Caenorhabditis elegans: one gene and its partner. The protein of the gene in region 1 interacts with the protein of each later gene in a pairwise test. Each region holds a gene or a part of one and is shown on either strand. Other genes may lie near its edges.

Evidence for each region.
Region 2: the proteins of F28H1.1 (region 1) and kin-4 interact in a two-hybrid assay, tested with the Caenorhabditis elegans proteins (2 studies listed by BioGRID).

What each region holds. Positions count from the first base shown.
Region 1 is NC_003279.8:3,993,956-3,997,125, reverse strand, and holds F28H1.1 (uncharacterized protein), read right to left. Parts: upstream 1,402-3,170; coding exon 724-1,401; downstream 1-723.
Region 2 is NC_003282.8:11,423,875-11,428,829, reverse strand, and holds the start of kin-4 (non-specific serine/threonine protein kinase), read right to left. Parts: upstream 3,089-4,955; coding exon 3,030-3,088; intron 2,697-3,029; exon of another isoform or gene 2,676-2,696; intron 1-2,675. Other genes in the region: F22B3.8 (Tyrosine-protein kinase), read left to right, coding at 3,945-3,950, 4,133-4,278, 4,326-4,549, 4,697-4,890, 4,941-4,955.

The DNA of each region.
Region 1 (3,170 bases):
GTTTATCGCGTACCTCGATCGATGTCGGGTGCGCATTCATCATAAGTAGCCTCAAAATTTTCTCTATTAAATTTTTGCGCTGAATGTTGTGACGTCACCCGTGACGTCAGAGACAAACGGAATAGCGCTTTATATATAGTAATGATAATTTACAAAAAATAGCAAAACATTTTATAAATTACCAGATATTTATTAAAGAGGTGTTATTCATTTTAAAAAATTAACCAGAAAAGTAGGTGAACACATCGGTGAAATCACATGAAGATGCAAACATGAGAAGAAAAGAAAAAGCAAGAAATCGGACGGAGACCGCATTTTTGAATGGAATCGATGGATTATGGGAAGTGCAAAGTTTCAACCGTAGTACGGATTATTAATGTTTTGTGATTAAAAAAGGATTATAACTAGGAGCATATACGAGAAGATCGGATGGGACATGTAACAGGGAGACTTAGAGATTTTGGTTTGATATTGCAAAAGCCACGATAAGGATTAAAGAATCACAATGAGAAACCGTATTTCTGATTAAAAGGATAAAAGGATAAGAAGTTGCAAATATCTTTTGGAAAGAGGAATGCAATGGGAATTAAATCACCTGAAACAGTTTCAGAAGCCGTAACATAATTAGGTATGTGACTATCAAAATTTGAGAGAATGAAAATAAGCCGTTTGTGTATAGTAACCGAGTAGTAAAGGAAAGGAGATCGGGATATTGTTCAGAATTTACAAGTTTGAGGTCCATGGTCCAAAGTCCACCGGGCTGAGACGTTCGGTGATAGATGGCGAACGGCTCGACTTTTGGTTGAGGATTAATTCGATCGTCTTCCAGCTGTTCTTCTCCTCATTTGAAGTGACCGATGTGGTTGGAGACTCCAAGGAATATGAACGAGTTGATGGATATGGTTGGAAGGTTGGAAGTGGAGTGGTCAAGGTAAGATCCAGTTGAAGTGGAGAAATTTGCGATGGGATTGGAGTGCTATTGTCCCATTCGCCAATGTTATCAAAGACATCCTGCTGAGCAGATTGATAGTGCACAGGCTGCTCCGGTTGGTAGAATGGAGGTGGGTTCTGATAGTACTGATGTTGACGGGCTTGATACTGGTTCTGCTGGTATTGCTGATGCTGTTGTCGACTCTGCTTCTGCTCAGAATTCCAATGACCCATAGTACTGAACACATCATTCTTCTCATCAATCGCCTCAAATGGTTTGACTTCATATGGATGATGGTAGTTTCTTGGGGGTCCTGCAACCTTTCCAACATCTGCCCAAGACTTTGGCTGTTGGGTGCTCATTGGAAGAAATGGTTCTGGAGAGTTCTTCCATGGGTTTGACTGGACTTTGAAGGCTGTCTCCGCTGGATATTGTCTCGTGAATTGGCCAATATGCATTCGATGAGCCATTTGATGGACTGGGGATCTGGAATAATTCAGAAGTTGAGGAAAATTTTGAAAAGGAAAGATAAAAGATTGAAACGTTGAAAATAACTCCGTAGAACAATGAAGAAATTGAATTGAGAAATTTAGTTTCAGAAATGTTGCAAGAGATTGCCTAATGGAGATAGCAATAAAGAATGTATATTCAGTGTTATTGATCGGTATTTCATGTTATTTCGATCGATAATATTTATACATTATGTGGCAAGACGAAGTGTGTAATTCCGAGCGGAAAAAATCCAGCCAAATAATGCAAGAATTTCTAAACATTTCCGACCGAAATTAAAGAACTGTGAGGGTAGACAAGAAGGTAGGCATGAGGCAGGCAAGTGGATGGGAAGGAGGCATGCATATAGACATGATCATAGGCCAAATGCTGAAATGCAGATAGGCAGGCAGGCAGGCATGAAGGCGAACCTACCTATCATGACAGTCATAAAAAGACTATTAGGAACAAGAAGAGCTCAACAGCATTCACGTGAAATTTTGTCACAGATCAACAGATGAACAAATGTAAATTTAACCAGGAGCTCGAGAACTCTAGTGAGTACCTAGGGTGCCTAGAAAATCTCTTCAAAAAATATAATGAAAAGAATCTGGACGTAACCCTGAGCAATGTTATGACGCAATTAAAAATTATTTGAATTATTATGAAACCAAGGAGGTTGCTAGATCAATGGGAAGCATCAAAACTTTTAAAGAATATTGTTTAATTTTATTATTATAGAATAATTTGTATTTAATAGAATTTGAAGATGAAAGTAGTTTTTAAAAAACGTAACGTAATAGTATAATATCAGGATAAAAGAAGAGAGGTCAAGGAAGAAATTACGCAAGAACGGGGAGAGCTACTGAAGAAGATGACAAAGAGCGAGATAAGAGTAGGTCTCCTGCTGCTGAGGCAACCTGACCTGCACACACACCATCTTCTTCTTCTTCCCCTTTATGCGCATTACCTGCTTCCTCTGGCCCCGCCTACTTATCGCCTGTTGTGTGCTCATTTGGCCTGCGTCACTTGCACTCTCTCTCACTCTTCCCCCACATACACAACAACAATCTCTGAAACAGATAGAGAGTGGTGGGAGGAGAAATATAATTGGCGAGATGGAGACGCAGATAAATGTCAAGTGGAATGTGACATTTTATGATTAGGGGGTTGAGGTGATTGCAGCAGTGGGAAATAGACGGTCACTGGGACCCTGTTTGTGATGGCTGGAATTTTAACTGGAATTAGAGGTTTTGAAGTAGTCGGGAAATGCACCTGAAATTTCTGAAAAAACGAAAACCCGTGCAGTTAAATTTGAAAAAAATGTAGCTCCCTGAGATATTTGTTTTGCGAATTACAGTTCGTAAAATATTGCTAATTTTAATTTTTTATAAAACTTCATTTGTTTTTTTACACCTGGTTTTATGTCTTCCACGTAGGCACAACTATGCCTGCGTTCCTTAACGGGACCTGCACTTGCCTGATGCCTACATCATTCATTACTGGCTATTTTTAATTTTTTGCAAATTGATTAACAAACAGTTTGACATGCAGGCAGGCCTACGGCAGGCACATATGGTTAGAAACGAACCTAATTGCCACAAAAGCCCTGGAACAAAGTTTAAGAAAAATTTATTTGTAAACGAAACGTTTCAAAATTTTGGATGTTATCTTAAAATTGAAAAACAAAGATCAAAGATTTTAAGTTTATAAAAACCAAAATCAGAAAATGTATTTTATAATCCTAGGC
Region 2 (4,955 bases), on another chromosome or scaffold:
AAGAAAACTTGGAATAATCTGAAGGTTTTGTCGGAACCTTTAAGTTAAAACTAACTTGATGATACTCATAAAAATTCTAATTCCTAAAATTCAACGGAAGACGCCATTCCTCCTCATATTTGGGCGATGTCGCTTCTTTCAGCCTCTTCAACGATCTCCTCGCGCCGTGGTTCTCAGCCAAGTGTAAATATTCTCAATTTTTAGTTCATAAAAATCTAGAAAAATCAAAAAGCTAACTTGAATACTTAAATGGATGTTCTCTTTTCTCTTTCTAATCTACTTTCATCATTCAATTTGATATGACATTCCCTAATGCATAGTGATATTTGAATGAACGAGACAATTAGAAGAACACCCAATTGATTCAATTTTATACTTTAAGGGTTTGAATTTCTTTCAAGACAACAAAAGAAACAAAATTAAAAAGGAGAGAATGAGAAAGTAGGGCTTGCTGATGTAAACTTTTCTTAAAATTAAAATTGAGCATTGCACCTGCCAACTGATACGCAAGAAGAAACTTATTCGAGCTAAAAAAGGCATTCGAGCAGAAAATGCATTTTATTCATCTCTGAATATCATATTAAATTGTTAAATTGTTTGATAGCGGAAACGAATATGAATCGGAAATGAGATGATTCCATACTCTTCGAACAATTTATTCACGTTATTTTTAGAGGAGGAAGAGGAGGAAGCTTGATAGTTCAAAGGGTATTTCAAAGAGGCATTCTGTCTGGAAGCTTTGAATTTTCAAAATCAATGACTAATCGATATTTCAATTTTTTAACCTCCTTGATTTACAACAATCGTTCTATCGGTGAACCAAATTCAGTTAACACAAACCATTGATTTTAAAGTTTCAAAGATTTTTGTTTTCCTTTAGTAGAGAAAAAATCAAAGAATTCAAGTATGTTGCCATCAATTTTCAGTAAAAAAGTGGCAAACAAAATTTGAAGAGCTAGGTGCATTTCTACAACAATTTTTAAGTCCTAATTTTCAAAGTTTAAAGTCTTATTCTTTGATTTTTATTTTGAATTTCATTGATAATGTTCAAAGTATTTCCAGTGAGTCATTTTGGCAGAAAGAAGAACATTCTCCGAGCATGAAGCCATGTTGATCAGATAAATGACGCGAGTCAAGTGCAAAAGATTATTGTGTTATACTTTTTTATTTGATACTGAAAATTGTAACCTTTTCAACTGAGAGATTGGTTAAATGTACCTGTGTTTCAGAAATATTTTAAACCTATGCTCGGAGAATGCTTGACATTTTTTTCAAAATAAGTTCTGATAAAGAGCTTTCGATAAGAATTCAACAAGCATCTGCTGGCGGATGTACATAGGAGAGGGAGAAAAAAGAATACTCATAAAAATACATTTAGAATTGCACAAAAAAGTTGAGTTTGGAAAAATTTTAATTCGAAAAATACCCAAACCACAGAACAGGTACTACTTTTGTAGCGAAACTATATGACTTCCATGGCAGTAAGTCCAATATTTTTAAAGAATAAATAATTGGCATAACTTTTAGAAAACAAGAGGCATTTAGACTGCGAAAGTGTATTGCACTTCAAAATTTGAAGCAATTTATTATCTTAATTTTTCTGAAATCGGACAAGAAAAGAAGAAGTGAAAGGAGGCAAAAAAGACGAAGCTGAGCCAATCGATGGCCAAATTTTTTAGAACGACAACGACTGAAGACGACTTAAAAATATGAGCATACGGATAAACAGGGAGATTAACTGGCATCCGCCAACAGATTCACCATGCAAAGGATTAACTGTCAACTATAACATTTCTTTTATTTTCTCCTTTTTATAGAAAATATATTTATTCACTATTTCATCCAGGTTCGTCCGTTGACGTACTACAGCTATGCAACCAGATTTATTCGAATAAAAAGAATATCGTGATCTTCACAATGAAGCTCGTATTTCTATTTCAAAAACTTGACTCATTTTTAAGTAGTGATGAGATGCAATAACATTAAAATTTAGGTGCTTACGTAATAACCGGGCCAATCGGAAACAAGACGAAATCTAAAACGAACGCATTTGCAAAGTCGAGCTACTGGCTACTAGTGAAGATTTTTAATTTACATCGAGTTGAAAAATAAAGATAAAATAATAAAAATAAAGATGTTTATGATCCATGTTCTTGATTAGGATACATATTATAATACTTCGGAAATGACATACATACATAGGTATGCATACAAGAAGCAATATCGCTTCATTAACAAACTATCCTAGATCATAATTTAAAGAAAAATGTTACACTTTCAGTAATTGGACTTTGTCTCAATTTTTCTCTATTTAATGTATCCTGGCATACAAAGCGTATTATAGAAAAACCGTTTCCGAAAAATTTTAGTTTTTCAGATATTTCGAAAACAATTCGATTTTTGCAAAAATATATTAACATTTTGACCATTTTCCTTTTTTTTCAGAGAAAACATTTCATGTTTTTTCTCATCAAAATGAACAACTTTTGGTAATTTTTTAGTTTTTTTGTTAATTTTCTAAAAAAATTTTTCTTTAACTATAGAAAAAAAATAAAGAATATTGAAATAATTTTAGCGGTTTTGGAAAAAAAAAACATTATCTGCATCGAAATTCGACATAAAAAATATTTGCAAATAAAATTTTCAACTTATTCTTGATAACTTAAAAGCTTAATTACATGGACAATAATATGCAATTGATTTATAATTAAATTGAAAGTTAAAAATAAAAGAATAAAACAGTTAGAACAAATTCTACCATCATGACTTTTACAGAAACTTTGACACGAAAAAACAAAAAACCACAATAAAACGCTGTTCTCTATTATTTCCGCTTTCATCGAACGAAGAAGAAAATCATCCGACAATCGGCAATTCTATGCACGCAAAACATAAAAAGAACTGACAGAGACATGTGCAAAGAGATTTTTTTTAGGGGGAGATTTCTATTGCAATGAGAGAGATAATATCTTGTTTTATAGGTTGCATTTTTACTTTTTTCGGTTTGGTAAGATACACTCAGAACTCACTTTTCTGTTGCATTACTTGGGCTCTTCTTTTGATACATAACGACTCCAAAATTGAGCATTTGATTCTGAAACTATAGAAAAAAAAAAAGATTGGCTAGAAACAAAAATAAAAAGTTAGATTGGAGTTTTTGGAGGGAAACGTTGAGTAGGCGAAACGCCGGAGCTTATCAATCACTATGGGCAGTTGAGTGGAGAGAGATTTGTGATGTGAATAAAATTATAAATAAATTGAAAGTATTTCTGATCCTCTCACTCTCTCTTTCTTTCCTGTTCTCAACATTCACCTCTACTAATCCCCTTTTTCCAGCTCATCACAAGGTTGCTCTTCGTTTTCTGATTTTGTGTGCTCATGGATTACTGTAACATTTCTAGATTTAGATAATGGTAAAGTGTATGGTGAATGGTGACATATCCGAAAACATGAAACTTGAAAATATTAATCTAGTTAAATACTTCTGCCGTTGACATTTGAGACCAGCTATTATAATAATCTCCTTTTTTCCACTCTATAAGCAACAATTTTCAATATTTTGACATCCTGTGAATTGCAAAAAATGAATATATTTTCTAAGGGGTTCGATAGTAGACATGAATTTTTCAGACGTGCTCGCCTGCCTGCTTGCCGCTGATGAAAGGTTTGATAGGAAGATGCTAAATTATGGCAGGAGTAGGAAGTTGTTCCTAACTGTCGAGCAGTGACTTTGCACTTTGTTGTCAGGAAAATTTGGTTTAACCGTTAATCCTTCAGATGAAGTTTGATTCCTGGAAGTTTTCTGAATTTGAGTTGTATCACTGTCTGTATGTTTAAATACATAAACTCCCGTGAAAAAAATTGAAAAAAAAAACAAATACGACGAGGCAAACTTATTTATTTCCCAATATAATTTTACTCAAAATCGTCGTAAAATTTTTGCAATGAAGGTGAGTTGGAGTGCGGGAGTTCGAGCCTGCCTGTACCTGGCTACGCGTCTACCTGAAAATAAAATAAGACATCAGAAATTCTAGAATAAGTTTCCTGCAATGGGTCGCCTGTAGTATGATTATTTAAAAAAAAGACAAATTCGGTATTCCTGGTATAGTAAAATGTAATTTTCAATTTTCAGAAATCTGAGAAAAAAGAATGTAAGAGTGAAACGACCGAAAAGACTGAAAGGACAACAGATGGCAGCAGTATTTCAAACTCAGTTATGATCAATTTTCCGGACGACTCAATGTATCAAAATGTAGAAAAAACTAAAAGCGTTGGAAGGTGAGCAACTTTATCCCAAATATCCCAAAACACTTTTTAATTTCCAGAGTAACTAATGAAATGATTGACAATTATTTATTGAGATACCAATTTTTCCATGGTTTTGTGCTCCAAGAGCTACAACTGATCTTGTTGAAGACGAACGGAGACTTTCTCCTGAGATTGTCGCATCAACCAGAGAAGAATGCGAAGAAGCCGACGACTCCGGACAAAAGTGCCACTGATCCGATTCCACTGACTCGTGTCATTCTTGTTCTGTCCGTCAATATCAGTTTGTTTTATTTTTTGTTTTTTTAACTTCCTAGCAGCTTGGAAACTTATTCAATGAACTTCTCATAAGTTGTCAAGCTGTTGCGGGGAACTTGCCCTCACTGTTCGTTGAAAAACTCTAGATTTTACAATTATGTTCCCTATTCAGCACAAAAAACCGGCACCACACGAAGTTTCTATGGGGATCTGGAGGATGTGAAGAAAGAGAACATGGATATGCATTTGTTTATTGAAGAAACCGCCGGCAAATGGACCTCGTTTTATATTGAGCGGCGATTCAAGTTTCCGACTATTGATGAGCTTATCAACTACTATAAGGTCAACCCGATTTGCTATCACAATGTATGTTTGAGTGCTTTTCTAGCCATTTCCAGACGGTCTTTAATTTTCAGACACGTGTATTCTTG